2 linked regions of the Ovis aries genome follow. The protein of the gene in region 1 interacts with the protein of each later gene in a biochemical or structural test. Links are inferred from orthologs where the notes say so. Each region holds a gene or a part of one and is shown in the gene's direction. Other genes may lie near its edges.

Region 1 (3,539 bases):
CTAGCATATAACACAATTTATTAAAAGTCAAACTGCAAATGTTATTGCCCTCTCATTAGTGTGACTTTTTTTTAAATTTAAGCATTTATAGGTAAAATATCAGAGGTAGATTCATTGATACTTTTATAATATCATTAAAATGTGACTCTGTAGTCCTTTAGACTGGTTACATATTCAGTAGACATTCATTTTAACCTTTTTTTCACTATAAATTTTTTGGCGAGATTATCTACTTCAAATAGGTTTTAAATTTACTTTAGTATTTAATCCAGATTTGGTTATATAAATTATTTCATTCCATTCAGTCCAACATGCTCTTGCATTTTAAGGCCCTCTTAGTTTTAGATTTAAATCACTGTTTGATACTGTTCCTTGGAAACGGTCACTTGAAATAGTTCTTGTGTAGAGAAGTTAATGAGTATTTGCCAAAATCGTCTCTAAGAGTTAAAATATGTGACTGTTTTACTTTTTCAACTAGTATTCTCTTTTCATTTATATGTAATTGAGTCACATTTTGATCTATGAGGATTTTTCAGTAGCTGCTGCCATTTGATCTTGTTTCTTTACCCTAGGTAGATTCTGTTTTTTCCTAGGCTCGATCCTGCCAAAGTAGTAGTATTTAGAGGATTAGTAGAACCCTTTAAAGTGGAAAAATCAGTTACCTTTGCAGACAAGAGGAGGATGTTGATGTTGAAGAGCTGTGTGGTTTTATTTTTTCTTTACTATGCACTTTTCCCCCCATATATCTGAGAGCGATGTCTGTAAAACACTGGTATTATTTCCCCAGAAACTGTAGTGGGATGGAACCGCGTCCCTATTTATGTTCTGTCTGTGTCACTACTCAGTAGGGCACGACTGGGTGAGAAAATTTAAACATCGGCTCTTCAGCCTTTAGGATACTTCCACTCTGGGCAATCAGCTGTGGGAATGTGCTTCTCTCTTAAGGACCCTGGCAGGAAGGACAACTCTGTGGGAATTTGACTCCTTGACATGGAGCAGACAGCCTTACTCTTTCATGCCAGACCCTTCATGTGAAGTTACCATTGTTAACTGCTTCTGCCCCTCCAGGAAAGGGTTTCCCTTTGAAAAGCCTGGGCAGGGAGATGATGGTGAGGTTTCCTGGATGAGAGGAGAGTTGGAATAGGCCATAGGGTGTAGGACCAATGCTGTGCCGTTTTGGTTCTTGAATGATTTCTGTTACAGCTTTTCACAGTGAAAGTAACTAACACATATTTTTTTTCTTTTCCTCCCTTAGAAGACAAAAACACTAATGAGTTTGAGACAGTGGTGAAATTTGGGGGGAGGGGAAAAAACTGCTTTCCTGATCTGCAACTTGACTGGATGTTAAGATGTCTGTGGACATGAATAGCCAGGGGTCTGACAGCAACGAAGAGGACTATGACCCTAATTGTGAGGAGGAGGAAGAGGATGAGGACCCTGGGGACATAGAGGACTATTACGTGGGAGTGGCCAGCGATGTGGAGCAGCAGGGGGCCGACTCCTTCGACCCTGAGGAGTACCAGTTCACGTGCTTGACCTACAAGGAGTCCGAGGGTGCCCTCAATGAGCACATGACCAGCTTAGCTTCTGTCCTAAAGGTAAGCAGTGTTGTCACCTCCCAAGTGTAATCCCTGAAATCAAATCTAAATATGAGCTGTTGCTAAAGTCTCCTCCGGCCTGGTTAAATGGCCTGTAGCTTGAAACCAAACTGAATTATGTGTTGCCTCCTCTGGACACATGTGATGTATTTGCTTTGTCTAAGGTGCATATCAGAGGACCTCAGCTTCTCACACTACTAGGAATTAGAAAGGCGGGGTGGAGTGGATTCAGGGGAAATAGACCAGAAATACACAGAAGCAGAGCTGTGTAGATTAACACTTGTTTCAGAAAGTCTTATGAAATTTTATGAGGTAACATAGGATAAGCATCAGAATCACCCAACACTGTGTGGGCAATTGATAAATCTCTTAAGAGAAGCTCCTAGATCTCCCGGTTTGCTGTGAATAATCGGTGCTTCTAGGCTAATGAGTTCATTGGTTTCATATACTGGTGACTAATCTCTGATGTTGAAAGAAATTTTGGCAGTAACTAAAGTAAGTTCTCATAGCTTGTATTTCATTGATTTGAGGGGGTGTGAAATGAAATTGTAAGTTAAGTAACAGAATTGATTATTTTAGCAAGCCGCTTATTTTTAACACTTAAGCTAGCATAGTTTTCAATGTCTTGCACCTTAGGCCAGGTATTATCCTCACAATGGACATTTTGTATTACATTATATCGAACTAGTACAGAGTAAAACACACAGAACAGCATTTACTGTGAATTATTATGGTCCTTTAGACAGTGTCCCAGCCTGTTTCTCCTCTCATGTGGACCATTATGTGAAAGTGGGAACATTTCTCCTACTTTGCTGTTTTCACTGACCTTCCTTTCAGGAGCTGTTGCATGGATTTTGTTGTTCGCTAAAACTGAAGATCAAGAGCACATTGGCATGATTTCAACCGAATAATTTTCATTTTAGTATTGAAATGGAAATGACGAAGGTGTTCCGTACTGTAAAAGTTGCTTTATCCTACTAGTCCAGGATTTTTTTTTTTTTCCCCAGGTGATCAGCAAATGTTAACTAATACCTTGGATTTGGATACTCAGGGCTTTATTAGTAGCTAGCTAGGAGCTGAAAGCTAAAGATTTTGTGCAACTCACTTCTAGAAATGGACAGGTTTCCTCTCTCACGCTCAGCAGAAAACTCAAAGAATGGAGACCCATTGGAACCTCTGGGTTTGGGATTTCTGCTCATAACAATAGCAGAGTTGCTGGGGCATTTCCCTGGTAGAAAAGAGATCTCAGATCTCTTCATTATTCCCACCTCTCCCTCTCTGGTCAACTAGTTTCTTTTTCTTTAACTGTATTTTACATGGTGTTGGTATTTAAAATTAGAGGAGGAATTGTCGGGTATGTGGTTCTGGACAGTATCAGTTGGCAAAGTTCATCAGGATATTTCCACCTATGCATAGGAATTCTCAGTTAAGACCCCGTGCCAACTTTCTTACTCTGCTGGAGACAGCTTGGGGGCACAGGCCTTTTTCTCCTTTGTTTTTTTTAATTGTAGTAAAATCCATAAAATATACCATTTTACTCCTTTCCTTTTTTTTAGGCTGTCTTATTGTGGGCCTGGGGAGGCCCTCTCCTTAATTGTTCAGACCCTCACGGCTCTTTCAGGCCTACCTTGTGCCCTCCCTGAGTGAGCCTCCTCGCAACCTTCTAGAACACAGTGGTTGGCTCCTGTTGTGGACCCAGGGCCCAAATGTTACAACCCAAGTTTATTAACTCATATAGTGCAATCTTCTGACTGCTTGATGTTGTTTTTACTTTTTCACATATTTTGGGATGTTCTCTTCACTGCTTGTCGTGTCACAGAGGCCAGAAACTACTTTTTTATCTTGTCTCCCCCATGATTCCTATCACAGTGTTCATCCATAGCAGGCATTGACTAATCTGGGGGCACTGTGGATTTGGTCAACTGTTGATGATGTCGCTGG
Region 2 (4,153 bases), on another chromosome or scaffold:
TCCCTAATTCACGCTTTTTAATAGCCGTGTAATATTCCACACTGGAGAGATGCCTTCCCTGCCCCCGGCCAGTCCCCAAGGGATGGGCATCCGGTTACATGCAGGTCTGTTTGTGCTTGTTCCTCATGCTAGAGAGGACTGGCCTATGTGCACAGAGAGATGAGACTGTAGGCTGGATTCCTACAAGTGGGATTGCCGGGTCACCGGGTCATGGAGTACAAAGATTTTACGTTTTAATAAATACTGCCAAATTACTTTCCAAAACTGATGTAGCACTTCACAGTGGCAGGCAGCCTGTGAATGCCTATCTCCCCACATTCCAGCCCATAGCCAACACTGGCTGGTGCCAGTCTGGGGTGCTGGGGACAGTGGAAGGCATAGTCATTACTTTGAATTGCATGATTCTGATTTTCAGTGAGCTTTTTGTTTTTTAAAACTCACATGTGCTTATGTGAGTATTTCCTCCAGCCTCTGCGGAGATTCTCTGAGGACGACCTTTGGGGTGGGGTGTGGAAATGGACTTGTCCCTGGAAGAGAGGGCCCAGGCCTGGGGCTGGGGGCTCTGAGACTGCGCACTTCCCAGCAGGGCCGCAGTCAGTATTCGCTCATCAACCAGGAGGGGCTGAGTCTCAGGCTCAGATGACCCCAAAGCCCGGGGACTTGCCCAAGGTCACGGCACCAAGGGTGCCGCCTGGCTGGGCCGCAGCCAGGCTGCGCCTCCGGCGTGCCTTCGCTCTGCACCAAGATCGCCGGGGAGATGCCTGCGGGCACCTTGAAGAAGGTCGGCGGCTCGCCGCCAACTCAGACTGGGCGGGAGAAGGTTGGGGTGGGGGGGGGGGGGGGGGGGTTGTTGGGCGTCGGGGGATGGCGGTACCTGCCGTTGAAGCCCGGGACGGCTCCCGCCTGGCCCCTCGCCGCGACCACCGCGAGGACTAGCGGGAGGGGCAGAGGCAGGGGCCGGGGCGCCGACCAGGCCGAGCGTTCTCAAGTGCCTGCCGGCTCTCCTGCCTCGGTTTCCCGCTCGGAGGCAGGCGTGGGTGTGGGGGAATCCGGAATGTCCGAGGGCCTGAGGTTCTGGCTTCGGGATCTTGGCGGGCGCGAGGTGGGGTTGGGTAGGCTGCGCGGGGTCCCGGCCAGGGGATAGTCGTGGTGGGCTGCTCGGGGTGGGGTGGGGGGGCTCCGGGGGCAGAGGGTGGCGGACAAAGCGGCGGCACCACCCCGCAGCGCGACCCAATGGAATGAATGGGCTATAAATAGCGGCCAATGGGCGGCCTGCGTTGCGCCCCTTAAGAGCCGCGGGAGCGCGGAGCCGCCGCTGTTCGCCTGCGCCGCGCCCTGAGCTGCAGACTAACCTAGAGCCCCCGCCCCTGCCCGACTGCTCAGTAAGTGAGCCCGGGGGCCCGGGGTGGGGGGCGCGCGGGCACCGAGGCGGGGGTTGTTGTGCACGGAGCTGGGGGCTGGGGCCAGGGTGTCGCGCGCTCCGGACCTCCCGGGGTCCGCCGCCTGGAGTGGGCGCGCCAGTTGGGCCGGGGGTCCTGGGCGCTGTGGTAGCCCCCTGCGTGTAAGCGCCGACCCCTCTGACCTTGACCGAGACCGGGCTGACCGGAGCCCGGGGCCCTGGGTGGTTAGCAGGTCACCAGGAGGCCCAGAGCCTCGGGACCCGCTGACTCCCGCGTCTCCCCGCAGCCCGCCGCCGCCATGCCCTTCTCCAATAGCCACAACACGCTGAAGCTGCGCTTCCCGGCCGAAGACGAGTTCCCCGACCTCAGCGGCCACAACAACCACATGGCCAAGGTGCTGACCCCCGAACTGTACGCCGAGCTGCGCGCTAAGAGCACCCCGAGCGGCTTCACGGTGGACGACGTCATCCAAACCGGCGTGGACAACCCAGGTACGCGCGCCTCAGTCCCGAGGTCAGGACAGGAGCCCGAGGCTGGGCCCCAGCGCCCCCGCTCCCTGGCTCCCCCCGGGCCAAGGTCCGGGCGCCCTCTTTGCGCGCATATCTGAAGGGTCCTCGGTGGCTTGCTCGGGCCTGGCAGTGACGTCACTGTCCCCATTCCACGCTCCCCCCAGGCCACCCCTATATCATGACCGTGGGCTGTGTGGCCGGCGACGAGGAATCGTACGACGTGTTCAAGGAGCTGTTTGACCCCATCATTGAGGACCGGCACGGAGGCTATAAGCCCACCGACGAGCACAAGACCGACCTCAACCCCGACAACCTGCAGGTGCGGGGTGGCCCGGGGCGAGGGGCCGGCTGGGTGGGGAGGGGTTGCCCAGCGCTCAGCCCTGCACGGCCCCCAGGGCGGCGACGACCTGGATCCCAACTACGTGCTGAGCTCGCGGGTGCGCACGGGCCGCAGCATCCGCGGCTTCTGCCTCCCCCCGCACTGCAGCCGCGGGGAGCGCCGCGCCATCGAGAAGCTCGCCGTCGAAGGTAAGGGTACGGCCCGCTGAGCGGCGCTCTTCGGCCCCGGGCCCTGCCGGCCTGTTTACCAGTCACCCGAGCCGCCGCGCTCTTATCTGTCCGTCGTCTCGGGTTTCCCAGAGGGACCGACGCCCAGCCCCGCGCCCACAGAGCCCTGGGGCCGGACGATGGTCGGCTTGGGCCGTGTCGCTCCGGAGCGGCCCGCCGCTCGGACCGGGAGGACTGACTGGGCTCCAGCCAGGCCAAGCGGGCATCCTGGGGGTGCGGGGTGGGGCAGGAGTCCACCCGTCCTCCTGAGCGCGCTCCTCCGCAGCCCTGTCGAGCCTGGACGGTGACCTGGCGGGGAGGTACTATGCGCTCAAAAGCATGACGGAGGCGGAGCAGCAGCAGCTTATCGACGACCACTTCCTTTTCGATAAGCCCGTGTCGCCCCTGCTGCTGGCCTCGGGCATGGCCCGCGACTGGCCCGACGCCCGCGGCATCTGGTGCGTATCCCCCGGCCTCCGCCCGCGCCGTACCTGAGGGAGGAGGGCGGCGCCGCGCTCCTCAGGTGGGTTTGGTGCCGGCCTCCTCGCAGGAGACCTTGACCGCGCAGGTGCGGAGCGCCCCGGGCGGGTGGGGCCGTCTTGCCGGCGTTCCTCCTCCCTCCCCCCGCCTCCGGGAGCCGCGGCTCCTTGTTTGCGCTCTCCTTTCCCACCCGCCGCCCGCGGGGAGTCGGTCAGGTGCGGGGTGACGCAGACGCTTCCTCGAGTGGGGGTGGGGAGCCGGGCTCGCAGGCACCGGGCGTCTGCGCCGAGATAAAGCGACTCCCCGTGGGCGGGGCGGGCTGCCTCTGCCCCTCACCCCCTAGGTGGGGACCACAGGGTGCCTGACCGGCTAGCTGGAAGCAGCTCAGGGCTTCGCGTGCCCTCTCTGAAGTGCCCTGTGTGCGCCCAGGGTGTTGATGGGGCTAGAGTCCTGATAGCAGCCCCGGGGCCCTAGGGACAGCTGGAGTGAGCACCTCAGCTACTTGGGAAGTGCCCCGGCTCGGGGGCCTCGCGAGGTTTTGTTCCTGGATGTGTCCTCGTCCGGGGAGGAGACTTGACTGTGCCCCTCCCCCAGGCATAACGATAACAAGACCTTCCTGGTGTGGATCAACGAAGAGGACCATCTGCGGGTCATCTCCATGCAGAAGGGTGGCAACATGAAGGAGGTGTTCACGCGCTTCTGCAACGGCCTCACCCAGGTCAGGGCCAGGCCCCAGGGTTCAGGCAGAGATGGAGGTGACCCATCAACCCCCCGGGGAGCCCAGGTCTTTGTTGCCTCAGGTCCTGTTCCAGCTGGTCCCCTGGGCGGGTGGCTCAGCCAGGCCTACCCTCTCACACGTCCATTTCCAGATTGAAACGCTCTTCAAGTCTAAGAACTACGAGTTCATGTGGAACCCGCACCTGGGCTACATCCTCACCTGCCCGTCCAACCTGGGCACGGGGCTGCGGGCCGGGGTGCACATCAAGCTGCCCCACCTGGGCAAGCACGAGAAGTTCTCTGAGGTGCTCAAGCGGCTGCGGCTTCAGAAGCGAGGCACAGGTGAGTAGGGGGTGCCAGGCGGCAGCACGCTCCCCTGGGGCTGCCCCCGACGCAGCCCCGCTGAACTGGCTGTCTCTCCAGGCGGTGTGGACACGGCCGCCGTGGGTGGGGTCTTTGACGTCTCCAATGCGGACCGCCTGGGCTTCTCGGAGGTGGAGC

What was found. The genes of interacting proteins can lie anywhere in the genome.
Region 2: of the proteins of ARIH2 (region 1) and CKB, one has a biochemical effect on the other in vitro, tested with the Homo sapiens proteins (2 studies listed by BioGRID). The link is inferred for Ovis aries from reciprocal best matches to the Homo sapiens genes ARIH2 and CKB.

What each region holds. Positions count from the first base shown.
Region 1 is NC_056072.1:51,075,328-51,078,866, reverse strand, and holds part of ARIH2 (E3 ubiquitin-protein ligase ARIH2), read left to right. Parts: intron 1-1,255; 5' UTR 1,256-1,349; coding exon 1,350-1,598; intron 1,599-3,539.
Region 2 is NC_056071.1:65,893,175-65,897,327, reverse strand, and holds the start of CKB (creatine kinase B-type), read left to right. Parts: upstream 1-1,314; 5' UTR 1,315-1,382; intron 1,383-1,686; 5' UTR 1,687-1,698; coding exon 1,699-1,891; intron 1,892-2,073; coding exon 2,074-2,228; intron 2,229-2,304; coding exon 2,305-2,437; intron 2,438-2,741; coding exon 2,742-2,913; intron 2,914-3,529; coding exon 3,530-3,653; intron 3,654-3,804; coding exon 3,805-3,994; intron 3,995-4,075; coding exon 4,076-4,153. UniProt on the Homo sapiens protein: Reversibly catalyzes the transfer of phosphate between ATP and various phosphogens (e.g. creatine phosphate).